3 linked regions of the Oreochromis niloticus genome follow. The protein of the gene in region 1 interacts with the protein of each later gene in a pairwise test. Links are inferred from orthologs where the notes say so. Each region holds a gene or a part of one and is shown in the gene's direction. Other genes may lie near its edges. The genes, in order: lsm1, psmb8a and clic1.

Region 1 (7,123 bases):
AAATATGGCACTTTTTGCTAAAACACATCAAGAATGTCTGAGGAGGGAAAAAAACAAAACATACATACACAAGATAATGGACAGTGATGCACACACAAAAATCTGTTTGATATAAACATAGATTTTTGTCCTCAATATCAAAAGGACAGAAAGAAAAACATTTAATCCAACCTTGTCCTTCAGCGTAAAACATGACTGAAAATGTTCAAGTAGAGATTTCAGTTTTATATATATTTGAATGTTCAAAGATGGAGAAAAAGAACAGCTTGTCCAGTCATACTTAATCAAGTCTTTATCAGTGAGTGAAGTGAAACACATGGCATTCATATGTAGGTCTGATTCTAGGTCTTCATCAAAAAAGATGAAATAATTGGGAACAGCAATCTTCTGGGGGATTTTCACTAATCTGCTACACTCGAGGCCCAGTTCTGAGCTCTGAGATATCATGACTGTATCAAGTGCCTATCTGACATTACAGTGCATGCAGGGCTTAAACTGAGTGAGAAAAAAAAAAAAGAAGAAAAAAAGAAATCACTGCACCTACAGAGGCGGAGGCATGGAGAGGCAAGTGGCTATGGACAACTGAATGCATTTACTCTATTAGGTGAAAGCACAATTTCCTGATCATGCAAAGGGACTCTGAGATGAAACGACAGACAGCTAAAGAAGTGCAAGAGCTGATACACGTTGGATCAGACTGAAACTGACCCACATTCCTGAGGGACAGTGTGATGATAATCTGCGTCATGAGTCAGAGACAACAGAGAGCTGCAATGTGACACTACACAAGTTCATCTTCCGGTGACTCGCTCCTGCTTTTGCAGCTGATAGAGTCACTCACTGAGGCTGACGCCAGCAACCATGAGCTTTCACGTCTAATACCACCATACCTTTTATACCAGCATTATTAAGCTTCAAAGTTGGATTCCACGTGCCAGTAACTGCTGTGTCTTTTTCTTTGGTCCATGCCACCTTTTCCAGGTATTTTATAGTAACATGGTGGTGGAGGGAAAAAAAAAAATTAAAAAAAAATCCCTACAACACTGGTCAGCAAAAGAAGACAAGAACCTGAACATGTCCATGGAAGATCAGGAAGATGAAATCAAAGTGACCCACAAGCAAAACAAGTCCAGCTCAGAAAGCTTTCTTTTCCAGCTGGTCCAGAATGGCCTGGATTCTCTGTACAGCCTCCTTTCGGGCTTGCCGGACATTCTCCTGTCCCTGAGTCTCCACAGAGTCTAGCACCAGCAGCTCTTTGGTAAGCAGTTCCTCCAGACAACGATAACTCTTGTCTGTTTTTTTGCCAACAAACTCATCAACGTCTTCCTGAAGCAGCAGTACTCTGGACATGACCTGCTGGACCTTAGCCAGACTGGGGTTATCGCTCAGTTGCGGAGGTCCAGCCTGATTTGGAGTTGATGCTGGAACCGAAGGCGGGGCCTCAGCTTGCGAAGCATTAGGATCACCTCTCCCAGTTTTATACATTTGTGGAGGAGAACTTATTTCAGTAGGATTACCACTGGGGGGATTCGGGGATGGTGCTGGCTTCGGTTTAGGTCCCACCGGTGGGGCACGTTGGTGCTGTTGGTCCTACATTAACACAAGAGTTTGAAAAAGACTGCGTTTAAAATGTTTGATAATATAAGGATAGAGGCTGTAAACTGACTCAAATAAATATACCTTAGCAAAATTTGGTATTTATTTTTTAGAAAATCTAATCCCTCCAAAAACAGATGCTATCCACCCAGAACAGATGTGTGATTACAGAGAACAAAGTGTAAAGGCAGTTCATCATGACAGTTGTAATACATTGTGTGCACATCTGTGTTTCACAAAAATAAAATAAAAAAAATCTCTTAAGATTCTTACCTTGGGCTGGTAAGGTGGAGGAGCACCTGTTCCAGTTCCTGGCCACGCTGGAGGATGTGGTGGACGGACTGGATTCCCATAATGGTTTTGTGGAGGCTGTTGTCCCGGCGGCCATGGCTGCTGTGAGGGTACATATGGACCAGAATGTGCCCATGCGTCAGGCTGCTGGCTGGGATGAAGTGACTGGCCAGTTGGGTATGGGGGATTTGGAGGCAATGCATGGCCACTCTCGCTGTAGTGAGGGTACGATCCAGGATATCCAGGACCCTGAGAGCAGAAATAAGACAAATGTCTCACATTCAGAAAAAGTTTCTTTTGCGTTTGAAAATGACATCTATTTTTAGATAAAAAAAATAATAATAAAATTACACTGTATAATATACCTCATTTGTAAGACTTTATTTAAACTACTGTTATATTTGAAAACTGTGTGCGCTTAAATGCACCAACCCCTTGGCAGTGTGGCCCAGCATAGTGATGATGTTGGTGTTGAGAGTGAGGTTGTCCAGAAGACCCACTGCTTTGCTCTGCGTGGCAGCCTTGGTTAGGATAAGAACCCGGAGCCGGTCTTTGAGGGTCAGCACAGTAGAAAGGGTTGGATGGGTGGAAACCACTTGTTGAATACTGACTCTGTGCTGGACTGTAGACTCCATGGCCGTTTGGATAACCAGCAGGCATTACCTATGTGAAAGACACAAGAAGGGGACCTAGTTATTTAAAATAACAAGTATAAATCCATCAGAGATACAACAACTTTGACATGATAGATGTTAATATGAAAATGTAAATTAAAGACATTTAAGCATAAATCCACTAACCCAACCTTAGAGTCAGAGGGACTGGTTATGCTGCATCTGTATATCTATACCTGTGGATTGTACTGTGGCTGAACATCTGATCCGGAGGGATAGGTATTTGCATAGTGCCCTGTGGAATGAGACTGGGGATACCAGTATTGTGGAGGATAGCCTGGATACTGAGGAGCATCCTGCAAATACAGTTACAAAGCATGGTTGGCACCAGAGTACTAACAAGTAGACATTGGTATGACACATTAAACTTTGAAACTACGCCTTCAACGTCACTACCCATCCCAGAACAAACAATAACTGTGCAAACAGGGACATTGATTCATCTGCCTGCGGAACCAGTTATGCAAAATCCTTAAGTAGAGTAAAACTGACCGGAGAAAAAAAAAAGGGCCCAACATGTCACAAGAAAGACACGAAATACTCACTCATTCTTTCAAACACGTGGAGTCTTATTAACAGTGGAGTCGCGTCAAGATGAACGTAAAAGTCCCGGAAAACAGCTGAACTCTGTCCTTAGCCGTTACTATTACATAATGCTAGTTAGCTCAGTTAGCCGCGCAGCTAGCATAGGCAGAGCTTTGTGCGAGCTGGCTGAAAATGATCTCCACCACAAATTCACGCTATTCTTTAAGGTTTAAAGACACTAAAAGAGAGTGTGAATACCACGAGAATATGTCTGAGCTGTGTCCACTTACTTACCATACTGTTATTCCAGTTCCCGTGATTATTTCCCGAGTTGCAAGTCGAGGGCCAGCCGGGTTTCAGATTGGACTGCATTTGATAATGATGATGCTTGGACTAAGCGCTCTTACCGGCAGCCGCCCTGTCATCTGTCATTGTGGGGGGGAAAAACAAATCTGCAGCGAGCCTCGCGTTACTTATCGGATGTGTCAGGTCGTCTGAAACGCCAGCAGCAATGTTGTCGTTTTCCTATACAAGTGCGGACCCTTTGGTTAAGTCGGGAAACGACTGAATGACGTGAGCGCCCCCGTGCTGCGCCTTTAATAGCGAGCGCTGCTAAACCTACAGAGGTCTCACTCCGCCAGATTTTTTCTGGCACAACCAACGTTTGGACGGAGAAAGTAACGCCATGGTCTACCCTCATTTCACTAGCTATAAATTTATGATATGATTTTAAGACGTTAAACGTCTATTTTCTGGGTGTATTTCAACAAAATTATACATTTATTTACATAATGTAGGGCGTTTTGAATTGTTCAGGCTCGGTGACCATTGTTGTGTATATACGATCTTTGCCGACGCATGCGCGCCAGTAGACGTTATTAGCCAATGGGGGAAAAGGTCATAAAAATAACATTTTAAAAACATTAACTGCTATTTTAATCTTCAAAACCCACCGATGCCTGAAGTTCTATTTATTTAAAGATGTATTTTTTAAAGGGCCGGCCCTGCGTGTTAGAAATGTAGTGAATCGACAGCGCACAAAGGGTTAAATGCTTACAGGAAGTTCATCCCTGGCGTGTATAAAGACGCTTCCTGTGCTAATTTTGTGAGAAACATGTATTGAAACATTAATGGCTTGACGGTATATACAGATACAAGACTCAAATAAGCAGCAGCACAAGATGAACTACGTACCAGGGACGGCAAGCCTCATTGACGACATCGATAGTAAGTTGGAGGAGTGATTTGATGGAGCTGATTTGGTTTAAAAAGAAATAATCGTTTCAAGATGTGCAGCATCGTGTCCGACGCAATCTGGATCATCTGCAGCGGGTTTAAATTGTCATATAACTTGCTCCTCTTGTTTGTATCCCGCAGAGAAGCACCTGGTGCTGCTCCGAGATGGAAGAACATTGATTGGTTACCTGAGAAGCATTGATCAGTTTGGTATAACTCTTTTAATTATATCCACCTTTAGTATTGTTTTTCTGAGTCGGGTCACTGCACTGGTTACAGCAGGCTCAGTTTATCTGTCATTATGATTCCCATGATCGTGTCTCTTGTTTTCAGCTCTCTATTTACACCGGTTCTTTTGTCCTCCAGCCAATTTAGTTTTTCACCAGACAGTTGAGCGCATCCACGTGGGAAAAAAGTTTGGTGACATCCCCAGAGGAATATTCATCGTGAGAGGAGAAAATGTGGTGCTGCTTGGAGAGATAGTAAGTAGACATAATCTCGTTTTCACTTTGGTTTTTGAAATGGTCAGAAGGATCAGTAGACATGGTTAAATTTCCTTATGTCCTTCACACACTGCATTGATACAGTTGTGAGAGTAGGGGTTCACTTAAATGGTGGCTAAGGGTCCTCGGGCTGGAGCCTATCCCAGTTGACACAGAGTGAGATCTGGCCTTTCTCACAGAGAGACGCACAGCCATTCGTGGGCCAATTTAGAATCACCGATTAACCTAACATGCTTATCTTTGGACTGTGGGAGGAAGCCGGAGTACCTGGTGAGAACCCTCACCAGTCTTTCTGGTGCAAACAGATGCCAGAAAGACTGGCAGGCTCAGGAACTACTTGCTAAGAGGCAACAGTGGAAGCTGCTGACGCATCCTTAAAATCTGACTCTCCTTAATCATGCTTGTCCGATGTACGTCAACAGCCAAGGTGACGCGTTACAGGGACACCGCCGTGACACAAGACCTTCAAGGCCAGCACACTGAGCAAAAGTGACTCATGAACTCGTCTTACTCTGTTATTCCTACCTAATGCTTGACAGCAGTACTCTGCTGTTAAAGGGATCCACATGATGCTGTAACAGTACAACATGTCATGATGTAAAACTGCTTCAGTCATAGCAGAGGCTTGACAGTACCTGTGCTCTGATCTGCTTCTCAGCGCTTTAGAAGATGTTGCTGCCTTTTGTGACATTTGCCTGATGATTAGGTTCAGTTGATTGTTAATTTATTTCTGTTCTGAAATGCTGATGGAAATGGAACGGCAGTGATTAACTTCTTGGTGTCTTTTGGTGAGCTTGCATCTGGCAAACGATGAGAGTAAGCTGACATCAAATCCTGTGTCATATCAGAAATGATAATGAAGCACAAAAAGGCACATAGTCTCAGCATACAACATCTTCTGCACACATTCATTTATGTATAGTTTTGAGAAAATGTTTGTCAAGCATGAATGAACAGCATTTTGTAATTCTGCTTATAATGAGAAAGCAGTTTGTGATTGATGGTTGGCATGAACCATGCAGTCTTCTTGAAGATTTGCAGATGTTTCATGCCTTTAGTTCTAGGAAGTGGCAGGTGTGCAGCCTGTCCTCAACTGGAAAAAGGAAGTAGCTTTTGGAGAAATCATTAGCACAGAGGTTCACTTTATTCTTCCGCATTATTTGTTTGATAAAGACACACTTGTTTGCTTCATTAGTGTAATCAGATTGTTTGCCTATAATCAAAATTTTGATCAGGTATTTTATTAGTAATAATTCAAAGTTACAGAACGCCCAGTAATTCCAATTAAAATGTGTTCAGTAGTATTATCTGAGTGTTTCAGGCCTGTGCAAGATGTGATACGGTCTCTTGTCTTTGCAGGACATGGATAAGCCCTGTGACACGGTGCTGCAGCAAGTCTCCATTGAAGAGATCTTAGAGGAGCAGCGGCTGCAGCAGCAAGCCAAACAGGAGACCGAGAAAGTCAAAATGCAGGTCCTGAAGGACCGAGGCCTGTCCATACCCAAAGCTGACAACCTAGACGAATACTAACGCAACCTAGTTGCCGTGGGCCTCTTTCTCAGTTGGCATTGGACTGACGAGTTTTAAGTTGAACCTGAGAGTGCATGGCAGCCTGACTTTTTGTTTTTAAGTGAGCAGAACACACCATTATCCTGAGTCAATCTACTGTGATGTACTGTATCGATTTAATTTGAGTTTTGTAAGGGGGGGGTGTCATGTCAAGAAAGTTTAAAAAAATATTTTTTTTTTCTGAAATCACTATGTTGACAATTAAGAATCAATAGCACTTTGTATTCTTTCATCATGTGGTGAATGTTTAAATAATGTGGAACTGCTATTGAGGGGGGCGGGGAGACTACATGCTTTGGCCCATTAAAGAGTTTAATTTTTCATCATGGAAGGTCTACTTGGGTGGGGTGGGAGGGGTGTCATGCCTTAAAGGGATGTGAAGCTCGTCACTTTAGGTCAATCAGGGCCCAGTGCCCTCTTTTAGGATGGCGCCACAGACACCACCATGCAGATCACGTTAGCCGCTGTAATGTGACATCAAACCGGACACTTGTGCATTTGTTATGTGAGGAAATGCCATAATTCATTGTGGTAATTGCACTTAAGCAGGCGGCATATCGGTGCATCAGGCTGCCCCACGTCCTGTTTATATAAATGAGAGCCCGTCCGCACTCTGAGAAATCGATCCTATCTGCCTTCAGCGGTCAATAATAAGCTTGTTAATCGTTTTGACAGATCCATCGTGGCTTCTGTGAAACGGGGCAGCCGCGAGATTGTACTCGCTCCTAA
Region 2 (7,890 bases), on another chromosome or scaffold:
AAATATATAGTAAGTGTTGTTAGAGGAGAAATACTTCAATACTCTCACAACTTTTAATCTGCACTGTTTACTGTAATTCTGCATTTTTTCTCATTTTTGTAGCATATTTAATTGCTAATTGCCTCCTTTTCTTCAACTTAAGAGATGACATACTTGAGAACTGTTCACATAATGACATGATGTAATGGGATATTGAGACCACTGAGGGTGAACAACCAGTATTTTTTTTATATATATATTTATAATAATGGCTTTCTGTGTTTCTTAAAGCAGGTTTTTCCTCTTTTCCTCTTCCTTTATCTTTTCCCTCTGTGGCTTATCAAATCTTTTTTTTTTTTTGTTTCTCATGATCTCTACATTCTCTTTGTTTGTGTTTAGTTGTTGTGGAGCAGGTACGGCAGCAGATACAGAAAAGACCACAGACCTTCTGTCCTCCAACCTCACCATCTTTTCCCTGAACAGTGGGAGGAACCCTCGAGTTGTCATGGCCGTCAACATACTGCAGGACATGCTTTACAGGTGAGTGATTCACAGAAACAGGTACATGTATCCAGAGATGTTTGGATCGTTAGATGTGGTCTGTGGTCTTAGTAAAACATGTTTTGTCTCTCAGGTATCGAGGTCAAATAGGTGCTAATCTTATTCTGGGGGGAGTGGATTGTACTGGAAACCACCTGTACACTGTGGGGCCGTACGGGGATGTAGACAAGGTGCCTTACCTCTCAATGGGTATGTGATATAACTGCTTTTAATAACAACAGCATATGATCTTTAATTGGATTCTTGGTTGGTGTTTCTGTGATGGTTTTTCCCTGGCTGTTCAGCTGTCAGAACATTTTTTTGTTTACAAGAAAATATCAGAGATAATGACTCTGTTAACAAATATAAATGACATTTTAATGTGCTGTAGGTCTGTATTTGATTCAATCACAGACTACATACAGTCTGTGTTTAGCTGACTTTACATTGTGTTCATGCAGGATCTGGTGATCTGGCTGCTCTTGGGATTTTAGAGGATGGATTCAAACCTGACTTAGAGGTACTGTTTTTTCTGCAGTAAAGTGATATTTAGTTATTTAAACCTTTATAGAAACTTATTTCACATAGTATTCATTTTTAATTGAATAATTTGAGGGTGGCAGGACTATTGGAACTAAACCTTCTCTAAATTAAACAAACAGCTGATAAAATGGTTGTTTCTGTTACCAAACAGGTAAGAGTGTATAAGATGAATGCTTCTGTGTTCTGCTGCTTCATGTCATCTCTTTTTGCTCCTCTTTTATTCTGCTTTCTGTCCGCTCTCAGCTGGAGCCAGCAAAGGAGCTTGTGCGAGCTGCTATTCAAGCAGGCATCATGAACGACCTCGGCTCAGGCAACAACATCGACATCTGTGTCATCACCAAACAAGGAGTCGACTACATCAGACCCTACCAGGAGTCCCAGTACAAAGACAACAGGTACACCTGTACCAGTCATAGTTTGTGTGGATGCAGACTCAAAGATGGATTTAATAAACAGAAAATAAACCTTTATTCTGGTGAAGCAGAAAACAAATTCTAAAAATCCAAATAGGGACAATGGTGGATAAACAGCACAACACAACAAAAACTATTGCAAACTAAAGGTTTAAATAATCACGGAGGTAATTAGGCAACACTAGCATGCATGGCTGAAACTAATCAGGGATAACAAGACAAGGGAAGCAAAACTAAATACAATGCACATGAAACAAAAGACTATCAAACAAAAACAGGAAGTAACTATGCACGGGAATATTTAACACGAAAATGGAGACTATAATAATAATAATAATAAATAATAATAAACTTTATTTATAAAGCACACTAAAAAAACCAAGGGTATACCAAGGTGCTTGACAAAAAGTAAAATAGGAAAAAGGAGATGGGAGGGAAAAGAGAGAGGACCTGGCACGTATCAATTATAAAACCTTGACAATCATAATACATAAAAGTAGTTAACAAAGCATAACGGATAAAAATGTATCAACGCACACCAAATATTAACTAGGTGGAAAAGCAAGATTAAATAAATAAGTCTTCAGCCGTGATTTAAACAATGGCATAGAGTCAGACGCCCGGATAGCAACAGGAAGGTTGTTCCATAAGACTGGGGCAGCTACAGCAAACGCGCGGTCACCGCGAGACTTCAGCTGAGAACGAGGTTGCTCCAGAAGAAGTTGGGCAGCAGATCTAAGTGCTCTGACAGGAGTGTGTAAGCTAAGAAGCTCACTGAGGTAGCTCGGTGCCAAATTATTGATAATTTTGTATGTGAAAAGTAGTATTTTAAATTGAATACAGTATTTAACTGGCAGCCAGTGCAAGCCAGCAAAAATAGGAGTAATGGAAGAAAATTTCCTGCTACCTATCAAAAGACTAAACAGACATGGGGACCACAGGAGAGCAGGAAAACTGAAACTCATCAGATTAATTTAAAACAATAACTATAATTACAAATCACTTAAGAAAACACAAACAAAACTGAGAATGAAATAATGGACAGCAAAAGTAGATCAAAGAAGTGAAAAACAAGAAAGCTTTTCAATTTTTTAGCTTTCCACTTAAAAAATGAAACATTATTTTGTCTCACGTTTCTGGAATGTTTTTAAAGATGGATGTTTACATGTAACTTTTGAGTTCTTCACTCATGTTTCGTCCTCATTCACTCTTATCTAACCTTAGTAAAACACTTTGTATGCTATTTTGGACTAAGATCCACTAACTCTTCAAATCTACCTTGACTGCACATTATAAATCCTCAGATTTGAATGTTTTATCTATGTGCCTTTATTTCAGGAAAATGAAGTATAAATATCGTCCAGGCACTACTCCAGTCCTGACAGAGAAAGTTGTCCCTTTAAAGCTGGAAGTTGTGCAGGAGACTGTGCAGAAGATGGAGACAGCCTGAGCTACAACAAACAACCAACACATACACACCATCTTTGTTTTCAGTAAATCATGTTCAAATCGTGTTTCTAAAATAAATAAATAGAAAAAGATCTCCAAAATTTTTTTTCATTATGATTTTTGCTGCTTCAGCATGATGTGGTCTAATAAACAAGCTGTAATACTGTGGGTTTTATAAACATAGAGGATGCTGCTGGCCATAGAGAGGAGATATTTTTACAATACTGAATAATCTTTGAAACACTGAATAAAACCCGATTTACATGACCTTTGTTGCCTTTTTTCTTTACAGGTTTTGTACTTACTTACCCTCTTTAGTCAAGTCAGTTGAAACACTTTTATTTATTTTATTATTATTTATTTTATTTATAATAACAAATGTGCAGAAGACAGAGAACATGATACGATTGGTCCACTTGTCTAGGAGGAGATAGGGAACATGTATACATACAAACGATAGGATGATTATAGTAGGATTGCATATTTAAAACAACAGGAACTGAATTAAAGCAGTTTCTTTTACTTTCCAAGTTTCACAAAACTTGGTTACAAAATGCATGTAAACAAGAAGCAAACCTCCGCCAAAACATCTCACTCTCTGGGTGGTATTTACTTTTAAGGGAATAGTATTATATTTTGTATATATTCAATTTCTTTTCTTTGCACTTTTTTGAAGTTACTTTTAAGATGTTTGTAGTTCAGTAAAAAATTGCATAAGAGTAACAGATGTTTACTTTGTACAAACATTGTATAGGAGTGGGTGATGGATAATGTGTTTTAATTTTTAAATAACTGGACTTGAGCTTAATGATATTATACTACACTATATTTCTAACTAACCAGGCAGCGTATCCTCTTTTATTGACAATACTTTCTTTAAAGATATAACGCATTTTGGGGGCAACTTGAAAGAAAGGCAGATGTGAAACATAAAAGTGAGATCAGAGGCGAAATGTGACATCATATGTGGATACAAACTATAATGTGACATTTAAAATCTCCATATGTCTGTATGTTGTCAGATTGTACAAACAATGGCAGTAAGAAACAGTTTTAAATAGGTCTATATAGGATCATTATCACTTTGACCTTCAGGTCAATCTACTGAGGTCAAAGGTCAAATGTGGCATGATAGTTTAAATCTTTATACAGTGTTTTCTATATGTTGACAATAAACACCACCGTCGTAAAAGTCATACTTTCTGACTGAACTTCCGACCAATAAATCTTTAAGTTGACCTTAAGGGGCTATAATGGATTATTAACATGACCCCACTCTACACCCCTACAAAATTTTATCAGCCTTAATTTAAAACTTTTCGAGCTATTGCCTTTACACACAAAATGACCTGCAGACACACAAACTACCAAGATATAACCGCCTTAGTGTAGGGAATAAACAGGAAAAAATGAAAGCAAAGGTATAAATTAATAAAAAAGTCAATACTGGAACATCGGTATAAAGAAATAAAATAAATAAAATAAAAATAAACATAATTAAAACTAACGATATTGAATATGTTAATATCCAAACAGGATCAACTACAAAGCAGGTTACTGTGTTGCATTTTAATCTAACTGCAGTAAATTATAGCTATATTTTTTATAACTGATGAGCTCGTTAGTGACAGAACCTGAGGGCTGCATTTCCGCTTAGAGACTGATGATGACAAAATAACGTTTTTCTATTGGTCTGTTCGGTTTTCAGCCTTCTGCAGTCACAGAGTTTATTTTGATTAACTAAGTTTTTGGTTTAAAACAAATTCGTTACGATTGAGCACATATTTGCAAATGGTTGCATCTCGGTATTATTTTGTTTACAATGTTTGTATCTTTTTTAAAAGAAAAGAAAATTTAATATTTTAAACGAACCATTAAAATCCCTTTCACTTTCTATTTCTTTGTCACATACAAGGAAATCACCCTTGGCGTCAATCGCCTTCGTCATTTTTAGAAAACTCGACACCTACTCTGCATAAACGTATATAAATTTAAAATATAGTTTATCTATTTCAGTAGATAATGGCACTTCTTCAAGTGAGCGACTTTCAGTCTTTTTCTGAAGTCCGTGGACAGATTCTTCCAGTGAAACAGAGGCACCTCGTCGACCGAACCAACCACTACAATTTTGGGAGCAAAACTCAAGAATTTGCGGTTCCGCCTGGTGTAGAGGTGAGTGACTTTAAATCTGGCATTAAATTAACAAAGTGAATACAGTAAACCTGCCGTAAGCGTCAGACGCGCCCTGGCCTAAGTTATTTTACGCGTCTGTTGTGCTCAGTGAGCGATTTTACTTCCTGTTGAATCGTATATATAAACAATCGTGATTGTAAGAATATCAGAAACATTATACTTATTTTTTCATGCGCTATCACAGATCACGCGTCCCATTCTGTTTATTTTGGGTTTCATTTCAGCCTTCAGGGTTTCTGAAATCCTGCAACAGTGATGGAGGTGTGTGCATTGAAATGAACCACGGGACCACCACTCTGGCCTTCAAGTTCAGGCATGGAGTCATCGTGGCTGTGGACTCCAGAGCTTCAGCCGGGCGTTACTTGGGTAAACATAATACACAAAATGATTTAGAAACATTATGCATTTACATTTGGCGAAGGCAATAATGGCCCAATCAGTTATTGTCCAGCCACAATGAAGATGGTGCAGCTTCCAGTAAAATGTCCAAATATTACACAACAGGTGTGAAGGAGGGTAAAGATTTGCTTCTACAGGTGGTTACTCTTAATTTTTATACATTTCCTACAGTACTGTAAAACAAGACTTGAGCCGCCCCTTTAATCTCTTGCTAAGCCACTTAACATTGACTTATGAATCATTCAAGCATATAAAAGCTTTTAAGGGTGAACCAGTGTTCTGTCCACACATAACTGACAACTTAGAAAAGAGCTAATTTTAAATTTTATCTTTAGCTACTTTGATACTAGCAGCCAAAACACAATTTGTTTGCATATCTTTAGCTGAATCTATGAAAAATGCCATAAATAACACAGTTTGACATAAAGTATTATTATTATACCAACAAGATGATTCCCAAAACAGCCCTTAGCTGAAAACTTGGCATATCTCAGTATGGTGTGCAGAGATACGCTTGGACCTCAGCTGTTTCCTGAAGTCTTAATTGTTCAGTATGACAATGATCTCAAACACACTGCCAACGCAGTAAAAGCATACCTGTATAGAAAAACACACACTATCATTAATAAGGTGGCTCAAGACTTTAGGAATAGTACTGTAAAATATATTTTATTCATGTCTTTGCAGCATCCAACGATGTGAACAAGGTGATAGAGATCAACCCGTACCTGCTGGGCACCATGTCAGGCAGCGCTGCAGACTGTCAGTACTGGGAGAGACTCCTAGCCAAAGAGTGCAGGTCTGTCCTACATATTATCTCTTAGAGCCTCCAATTATTTCATGATTTTTCTCAGCTTTGATGGTGTATTGTAGCCTGACCGCATGCTACGAAACACACTAAGGTATTTTATCGAGTTTCTCCTTGAATGTTTTATGACTTGGTACAAATAAAGAAGAAACTTTGAAAGTGAAATGAAAGTAAGAAAACTGATTTTGTTTGAGTGAAGCAAAGAGCTTAATTAAGACTTCACAACAAGAGGTTCTTCTGTGGCTCTTCACATAAAGACTTTGAGAATAACTTACTGAAACACAATGAATACAGATTTAATAAACTGACATGGTCATCACATACCTTGTTTTTTAACTAAAAACATACAGTTTTTTTTCTCCTATTTTCATCTGACCACAACAAACAAAATATATGCTCCACACCTGTTATGGTTCTGGGTCGGTTCGACCCAGCATTTTAAGTTATGTTTTGGGTTTATTTTTGCATTATGGAGTGTTTTGGGGTTCTCTGGTGTTTTGATTATTTACGATAGATTATATTACTGTGGTTCTGGTTCAGGGTTTTGTTTACAGGGCCCTGTTTCAGAAAGCCGGTTTAGTGCAAACTCTGAGTAAGTATACCCTGAGTTAACGAAAACTCTGGGTTTTCGGTTTCACAAAGCGAGTTTAGATTAATTCTGAGTGAGTTACTATGACGACACACTCCGTGAAGCTAACCTGCCCCCTAGCAGGTTTACTTCAACTAACCCTGACCTTCTCCGCCTCTTTGTCGGAATCCTGACTGTAGGAAGTGTCAGACATGGCGTGCCCCTTCCTTGAAGAGCCAGTAGATGTTGAAGCCCAAATTCTCCGCAGAGCTCTCCGCCGGGAGAGAGTGATTAGAGCGCGTTTGGACATTTTATCATTTCCTGATGATTTTCTGTGTGAACGTTACCGTTTTTCAGCACAATCGATAATTTATTTGAATAACATCCTCAGGCCTTATATTGCTCATGTGACACATCGCGGACATTCTCTCAGTTCTGTACATATTATTTGTATTGCACTTCGTTTTTTTTGCAAACGGGAGCTTTCTGTATAATATTGGTGACGCTGAGCACGTTTCCAAGGCTACCGTCTGTCGGGCAGTCAGGAATGTTACAGTTGCACTGAAACATCTCCTGTACTCGTTTGTGGTGTTCCCCGGTCATAGACCCACAAGATTTATCAAAGAGGGATTCCACAAAATTGCAGGTATCAGGATGAACAAAACTTAATTCATGATGTGGTGATACTTGAACTACTACTTAGATTTTACATTTATTTTCAGGGTTCCCAGGCGTGATTGGCTGTATAGATGGCACTCACATTCCATTCTGCTGCTTGAAGTGTTCCATTTCCAAAAAGCATTTTTTTATTTTCTTGATCAAACAGGTCTTGTACAGCTGCTGTACAGGGAGCTATTGAAACACAGAAAATAGCATTGACATTCATAGTACATGCCTACTTAGGTTGGTTGTAAATCAGTGCTGAACATCTTACTGAGGAAAGGTTTGTTGGAGAAGTGGCTGGACCCTCTTCCTCTACATTTTTTATATTTCATTTT
Region 3 (6,972 bases), on another chromosome or scaffold:
CCAGCCTCAGTAACATAGCAGAGACGAAGCTGAAAACACGTTAAAACCATCACAGATGGCGTCCATGTGGCATGTTTTGAATATGCAATAAGCTTTGAATATGGATAGAAATCAATTAAAATTAGTGCATAAAAGAAGTAAAGACCAAATAAAAGAAGAAATAGTAAATTATGTCAGCATGTGCACATCGAAAAATTTAAAGGATTAAAGTTGAGAATAGTTGCTTTTAAGCAACACAAAGACTTTGAGGCAGCACGGTGCTGCAGTGGTCAGTTACATCGCAGTAAAAGGGATGTTGTCTCCATGCCTGCATCGGCTCTCTGTGGGACATTTATCCTTTAGAAAACTTACAAATCAGTCCAAAAACAAAAATCATCAGAATGCAGGAAATGTAACATCTTATACTCAAAATTTCAGGAGACAGGACCTCCAGATTTTCGGCGGATTGTGAGTAAACACTTTAACCTGCAGGGGGCAGCATTTTACCAATGGCTGGTAAAACTTGTCAGAACTAAATGAAGCAAATAATTTTTTTTTAATTGTGACAAGAAACCTTTTTTAAAAACCAAGACAACAAAAATCTGTGAAATGTGAAATGTTTGGACTGTGATCCTGAATGTGTTAATTTGAAAGGAGATTTAATATTTACAGCAAATCGAGTGTTTTCTGTAAGTTATCTTTTCAGTTTGGCCCCCAAGGTCCTAATTTTACATACATATTTACATGTTATTGTTGTTTTCAGAAATAGCAGGAAAATCCAAAAACTTCTGTAAACTAAGATAAAACAAACAGGATGACCAGATCTCCAAAACTAATAGGTTTGTAGACCTTACTAATGCCTTTTGTGTTTAATGTTAGAAAGAAGCTCACGTTTTTTCCAGAAAACACCCAAAAGAGCCTGCAAGGTTCTGAAAAAATAATTTTTGAGACAGATGAAACCAAAACGAAGTGTACGATGGGAAGAGAAAAGCATGGAGACGGAGAGAAACGGCTCATGATCTGAAGCATATCGGGTAATCTGTCAAACGTGGTGGAGGTATTATTATGTCATGGGCAATGTTCCCTCAAATATTTCATGTGTCTGAGCGAACACACAAACTCCCTGAGCGGTCCCTTGGACCACTGTGAGCGACATCAGACGTGAGCACTGTGGTCATGCCAGCATCTAATCCATCCAAGTTACATGGTTTATTAAAATAATCAAATTACAGCATTTACATTTCTGTTAGACTACTTTTAATTAACTGCTTTAGCCCACTTACAATGAAAATTTAAAAAATCCTGTTCATGACCTGTGTAGTATGTTAACACTATTGGAAGTAAAAATAACTTGAACTCCAATTTCGAAAACACAACTTTCTTTCTTTTTTTCTTTTTTTTTCATAAAGCTCTGACTTGTATTATGAGTCTGTGGTCTGGGAGAGAGTCCTATAACTCTCTGTCTGCCAAATACAGTATATAATGACCAATGTTGGGCAATTAATTATATAGTTACTACTTCAAAAAAGTAACTCAGTTTGGCAAACAACAAAGTTTTTTGCAGCTATTTTTTTTTTTTAATGCAGCCAAGGCGTTTTTAAATAAACATTTCAAACTATTTACAGAACAATCAGCTGTTCTGCATCAAATCTGATGCCACACAAATTATTTGTGCCACTCCAAAAATAATTTCTGTCCACTATGAGATAAAGGAGAACAACAGCCTGATACCTGCAGGCCTGACAGCAGGAGATGTATCACTCCTGTAACACCTGTAACATTCAGCAGCCGCCTCATTGTTCTGACACACACAACAAAACTACTGACTACACACTAACTACACAAGATTTGCGCTAAATGTCTCAAATCTCTCACATCTCAGAACACCGCCGTCACTCCTAAAACTTCCCCCCGTTTCTTAACAACTAGATGCCACGTTGCCATATCATTTTTTGATTGGTCGACACGGTACTTTTTTCGACCAATAGGAAAGGGTGGGTTTTTTTGGTTTTGTCTTTGCTCACAGGCGGAGAGTGCTTTCGAGCGTTTTCCTTATAACACGCCGTTTTTACCGTTTCTTCCCGCAGTAAATATAAACAACGATAGTATTCAGGAAGAAAACCAAACATTGCAGATATTTTTATCATAACTCTGGTTTTACGTGGCCTATCAACACAATTTAAAAACTGGTATAAAGTCCACACTTTTCCCGTCAATTGTTCCGTCTGTCCTGCTCACATCTCCAATGGTTGTACACGTTGTCATTAATGTGGCTTCACTCCACATCAGCCACGCCGCTTTGCCAGCTAAAACACCGGTGTCGGCACATAAGGACGCTGTCATAGCCTGTCAACAACGTTGATTGGCTGCGTATATACGAATGTGAATCGCATTATTGGCTGGACTATAGGATAAGGTGGCATCGTTCTAATCCCATACAGGAGCAGCCAGTCACTTACTGACTAACACTGCAAAACAGAATTGTTAAAGTTTTAATTTTAATTTCAATTCAGGTTAGATTTTTTTTGTGCGCAACGCAGATTTTCTGTGTGCAGAGACCGTGCCAGCAGTGCGCAACTGCGCACGTGCGCAGTTTAGAGGGAACATTGGTCATGGGCACGCATGGCTGCCAGTAGAACCGGATCACTCGCGTTTATTGGTGATGTGACTACTGATAGAAGGAACGGGATGGGCTATATTCTCTGCTCAGATTGAGCCAAGTGCTGAAAAACAGGTCAGACAGCGCTTCACAGTGAAAATTGTTGATGAGCCAAAGCAAACTACTAAAGAAACCAAGGACATTTTCAAGGCAGAGAACTGGGATATTTTTGCAATGGCCAACTCAGTCACGTGATATCAGCTACACGAAGCATGCTTTCCAGTTTTTGAAGACAGAAACAACATGCAGCAACTGGAGGTGGGTGCAGTAAAGGCCTGAAGAAACAGGCGTCACTAACTGTAAAGGGTTTTCATTCACATTTTACAAACAGTTCATATTAGATCGTTCAATAATGTATGAGCCTCTTAAAATCAGGGACTGAGCATCAACTAACCACTTTTGTTTACACCAGGGGTGTCGAAACATAAGGCCGCGGGTCTATGTCAAACATTTGTCAAATGTATCCTTCGTGAATGATATCAAGTCATCTTGAACCACAAACAACATTCCTGTAACAAAGTAGAAGCCGCAATCAGTTTTTGGCAGGGACCCTTATATATCCTTTATTTAAAGTGTAATCTGGCCGAGAGGACAGCAGAAATTGCAACAAATGTTGACCGGATTGGTTATAATGTAAGTACAATAACACAGAGTTATAAAGATACTTGAAAACAGGCCATTTTTAAATTTGACGTATAACCCCCTTGTAAACCCTTTTCACCGAAGTCTATTTACCAACATACATAAAGATGTTACACATAAAAACACACGCAAACATTGGAAATCCGTTTTTGGCAGGTGATCGCGAGGAAGGCTGGAAAATGTGAAAGAGGGGATAAACTTTTGGACTTTTAACTGTATTTTCGTAAGTTTAACAGCTTTTCTTAATGATAAAGTCTGCATTTTAATCAGATGTTTAATGTTTGATGTAAAAATCCACTGTGGTTGTGCACAGAGGCAAAACTACAAAAACTACAACCCTAACTGTATATGGGACAGTCAGACACATCAGCCACCGCCCCATAACCAGTGAATAAGTGCCTTTAACGCGTCTCCCCAAAGCTGCCAAGTGCTCTTCTCATGGTGGCTGTTACGTAACATCCCGCCTGCTCCCAGCTCTCCTCTCCGCGGTGACTTTTCTGTGTTTTTATTTGCTGCTTTGAAATAAACGATCTTTAACGTGAGTAAACAGACCGCTCCTTCATACTGCGGCCGCTTTTATTCGCTGAGAGCTCAGCCCGTCATGCACCACCAGGAAATGGAGGAGGATGATGATGATGATGATTGTGTCGCTGCAGCCAGCAGACGCGGGCACACACACGCATTCAGCAGCAGAACTGGGAGGAGAAACCAGCAACAGGCAACGAGAACTTCGAGCACTGTGAGGTTAGAAGCTCTACTGACTCTAAATTATGTGAATTTTGAGCTTTAGGGGTGCACGACATGTAGGGCTTTGCTTTGTGACGCCCGTGGAGCGGCTACATTGTCGCGTTTGTCACTTTAGTCACCGGTATTGTGTAGCGGAAGATGGGCTGGGCTCCCCGCGTTTGCGGTTGTTTCTGGCTCAGAAAAGGCGACTTTGCGCTCGATCGGGCTTCGTGTTAGAAACTTTTTAACGCCCGTCTCTCTCTCTTTATAGGTTTCGTGCAGCTACGGGTGAAGATGAGCGACGCCGGTCAGCCCAAACTTGAACTTTTCGTGAAGGTAAGAGAGTGAATGGGCGCAGAGAAGGAAAGCATCACACCCAAAGAGTGACGCGCACACGGGCGACATTATGTGCCCTGAGTTTATTCAGCGGGCTGAGCCGGTCTGCTCGGGCTTCTTTTATCTTATTGTTTCATCAGCACGCTCGGCGTGTTTTCTATTACATGCTGATAAACTGTCTCTGACACCTGCACGGTCCTTACAGCTGACTTTAAGCCACCTTTGTTTTATCTTTTATTTTCACGCAGTATTTGTTGTAATAGTGACGTCAATCAGACCCCCCTCTGCTGACTCACCGGGCTTATAAACTACTGTAAGGCTAATCTAATTAAACGCACATTAAGATAACAGCCAGCCGACTTTAATCTATATTTAGTATGTTGGCCAGGCAGGCTAATCCCATTTTCTTTGAGCCAAAAACAGGCAGTAACATACTAACCAGTGTGGCTCACTTCACACATAAAGATTTCTCTGTGTGAACATGTGCTTCCCACCCCCACCTTCTTCAGGGTGAAAGATGCTGTTGTAACTTCTCTAAATTGACCTCTTAAATGTAGTTTCTCATGAGCTGTGGTTAACAACACTAGGCGGTTGCCTGATGAGGCCACGTTTCAGATCCTAAAGATCAAAACTAGCATGCCCTAAGGCACTGTGTAGGGCTGGGTGCTGCAAGCCCTACAGCAGTAAAGAAGTTAGGGGTGGGTGGGTCAGTCCACGTTTACATTCCAGACACCCCCCCCCCCAAAAAAAAGAGTTTCAAAATACATGAAAACCGAAAGGTGTGTGTTGTTGCTCTAAAAAATTTATTTTGTTCAGAATGCCTTGCTTTCCCCTAGTATCAGTACTAGTATTGGCAATATTTGCCCAATATTTACTTAAGTATCGATACCACAGTTTGCTGTATGGCTCTGAAGTAAGAGAAGTAACATATGCTGCATCTCAGGCTTCAGGTAGTTTCATTTTGGGGATTGTTTTTGGAGCTGATTCATGATCGGGTCTGCAAACTGTGTTAAAGTGTTTAAAACAGCCTTGTGCAGATTAAATAATCATAGTTGATTTAATTCATGCAATAATTATATTCCAATTTATCTGATAGTGGGAAAATTACTGCTGTAAAGACAGATCAGACAAGCAGATAAACTGTGTAAATTTGCGATTTAAATGGCACAAATTAGGACTTTATTTCCATCATACCAAAAAAACCTCTAATTTCTTCTTTTTTTTAACAGCAGCTATTCCATGCTGCTCAAACGTCTTCACTTTCAGTTGTCGATTTGAGCTCTTCGAGGATTTGTGATGTGTGGTGATGTATATTTCTCTTTGTTTTGACTCAGACATCCTGCGTGCTGACTTTGCAGGTTGGTTTAAGGGTGAAAAACTAAGGTGCACGTTTCTGCATCAGCAGTATGCATACTGTAACCAAATGTGCAACAAATATTTTAAGGCTTTTCTTTGCATTTTTGGATCGCTGACCTGAAGAAACACGGCAGATTTTCCAGTATTTTATGGAGGAAAGTCTTAGAAAAATAGATGGAAACATTACTGTAATATTAACCGGCGGCTTTATTATGTGTTTTTGTTTCCCAGGCAGGAAGCGATGGTCAGAGCATCGGCAACTGTCCTTTCTCTCAGCGTCTCTTCATGGTGCTGTGGCTGAAGGGAGTCACCTTTGACGTTACCACGGTGGATATGAAGAGGTGAAAGCACTCGTCCTTCACGCTCTGTATGGCCACTTTTGTTTGTTCTGTCTCTCTCACTAATGCTGGCGCAACAAGAGAACATTCGCCTACACTTTTAATGTTTTAATGCCCCCAAGTGAAGCTGGCACTGAAAAAGCCTGGGGTATTGCATTCATTCATTAAAAGATAAAAAGCTCCCACGCTTTGATTTTCGGTGAAAGTTGGACACATTGTAGCTGCTCACATGGGTAATTTCCTGCGGTTGGAAATCTTTCCACTCCTGTTTTCCTTTTTTTTTCTCTTTCTCTGTTTCTGACTCGCTCCATCTGTCTTCTGGACTTTTTCCGTCCCGCTTTCAGGAAGCCAGACATCTTGAAGGACCTGGCACCGGGTGCTCAGCCTCCCTTCCTGTTGTACGGCAGCGAGGTGAAAACCGACACCAACAAGATTGAGGAGTTCCTGGAAGAGCATCTCTGCCCTCCAAAGTAATATTTTCCTTCATCTCTGAAGTGCTGATACAGATAACACAAACTGTCTTGTTTGATCTGATAATGATCTGAATATCGCAACTTTGTTGGGCACAAAGAGATACAGTACTTAAAGGATGTCTCTGGAGGCTTTGAGCACAGATTGTTTAGAATTTTGCAGGAATAAGGCAACATTTTGTAGACAAGACAAAAAAAGTAGGCCCTGCACGCCAACTCCAAAACACAAGATTTAAATCTGAATCTTCGTGAGATTAAACTATCTAATTCTACATTTTTGCAGGTGTTTCCGTTGTAGACCCAGCGATGAATAGATTAATCATAACAAAATAAACAGTTGGCTGCAAATGCATTTGTTGACTTCTTGCACATCAACACGAATAGCTTGAAGATTTATATCTGATGTGATTGGACATCTAGGTATCCTCGTCTGGCTGCTCGTAACCCAGAGTCCAACACGGCGGGC

Evidence for each region.
Region 2: the proteins of lsm1 (region 1) and psmb8a interact in binary tests that used the Homo sapiens proteins (3 or more experiments, as listed by UniProt). The link is inferred for Oreochromis niloticus from reciprocal best matches to the Homo sapiens genes LSM1 and PSMB8.
Region 3: the proteins of lsm1 (region 1) and clic1 interact in binary tests that used the Homo sapiens proteins (3 or more experiments, as listed by UniProt). The link is inferred for Oreochromis niloticus from reciprocal best matches to the Homo sapiens genes LSM1 and CLIC1.

What each region holds. Positions count from the first base shown.
Region 1 is NC_031977.2:12,015,519-12,022,641, reverse strand, and holds lsm1 (U6 snRNA-associated Sm-like protein LSm1), read left to right. Parts: upstream 1-4,120; 5' UTR 4,121-4,267; coding exon 4,268-4,313; intron 4,314-4,463; coding exon 4,464-4,532; intron 4,533-4,688; coding exon 4,689-4,804; intron 4,805-6,184; coding exon 6,185-6,355; 3' UTR 6,356-7,099; downstream 7,100-7,123. Other genes in the region: bag4 (BAG family molecular chaperone regulator 4), read right to left, coding at 1,135-1,590, 1,870-2,136, 2,320-2,550, 2,738-2,857, 3,381-3,458. UniProt on the Homo sapiens protein: Plays a role in the degradation of histone mRNAs, the only eukaryotic mRNAs that are not polyadenylated. Probably also part of an LSm subunits-containing complex involved in the general process of mRNA degradation.
Region 2 is NC_031985.2:8,393,912-8,401,801, forward strand, and holds the start of psmb8a (proteasome subunit beta type-8), read left to right. Parts: upstream 1-4,803; 5' UTR 4,804-4,946; coding exon 4,947-5,096; intron 5,097-5,341; coding exon 5,342-5,483; intron 5,484-6,203; coding exon 6,204-6,315; intron 6,316-7,890. Other genes in the region: psmb13a (proteasome 20S subunit beta 13a), read left to right, coding at 1-9, 379-519, 614-729, 981-1,039, 1,306-1,457, 2,814-2,925. UniProt on the Homo sapiens protein: The proteasome is a multicatalytic proteinase complex which is characterized by its ability to cleave peptides with Arg, Phe, Tyr, Leu, and Glu adjacent to the leaving group at neutral or slightly basic pH.
Region 3 is NC_031985.2:15,826,656-15,833,627, forward strand, and holds the start of clic1 (chloride intracellular channel protein 1), read left to right. Parts: upstream 1-3,866; 5' UTR 3,867-4,024; intron 4,025-4,277; 5' UTR 4,278-4,300; coding exon 4,301-4,342; intron 4,343-5,929; coding exon 5,930-6,039; intron 6,040-6,380; coding exon 6,381-6,506; intron 6,507-6,926; coding exon 6,927-6,972. UniProt on the Homo sapiens protein: In the soluble state, catalyzes glutaredoxin-like thiol disulfide exchange reactions with reduced glutathione as electron donor. Reduces selenite and dehydroascorbate and may act as an antioxidant during oxidative stress response.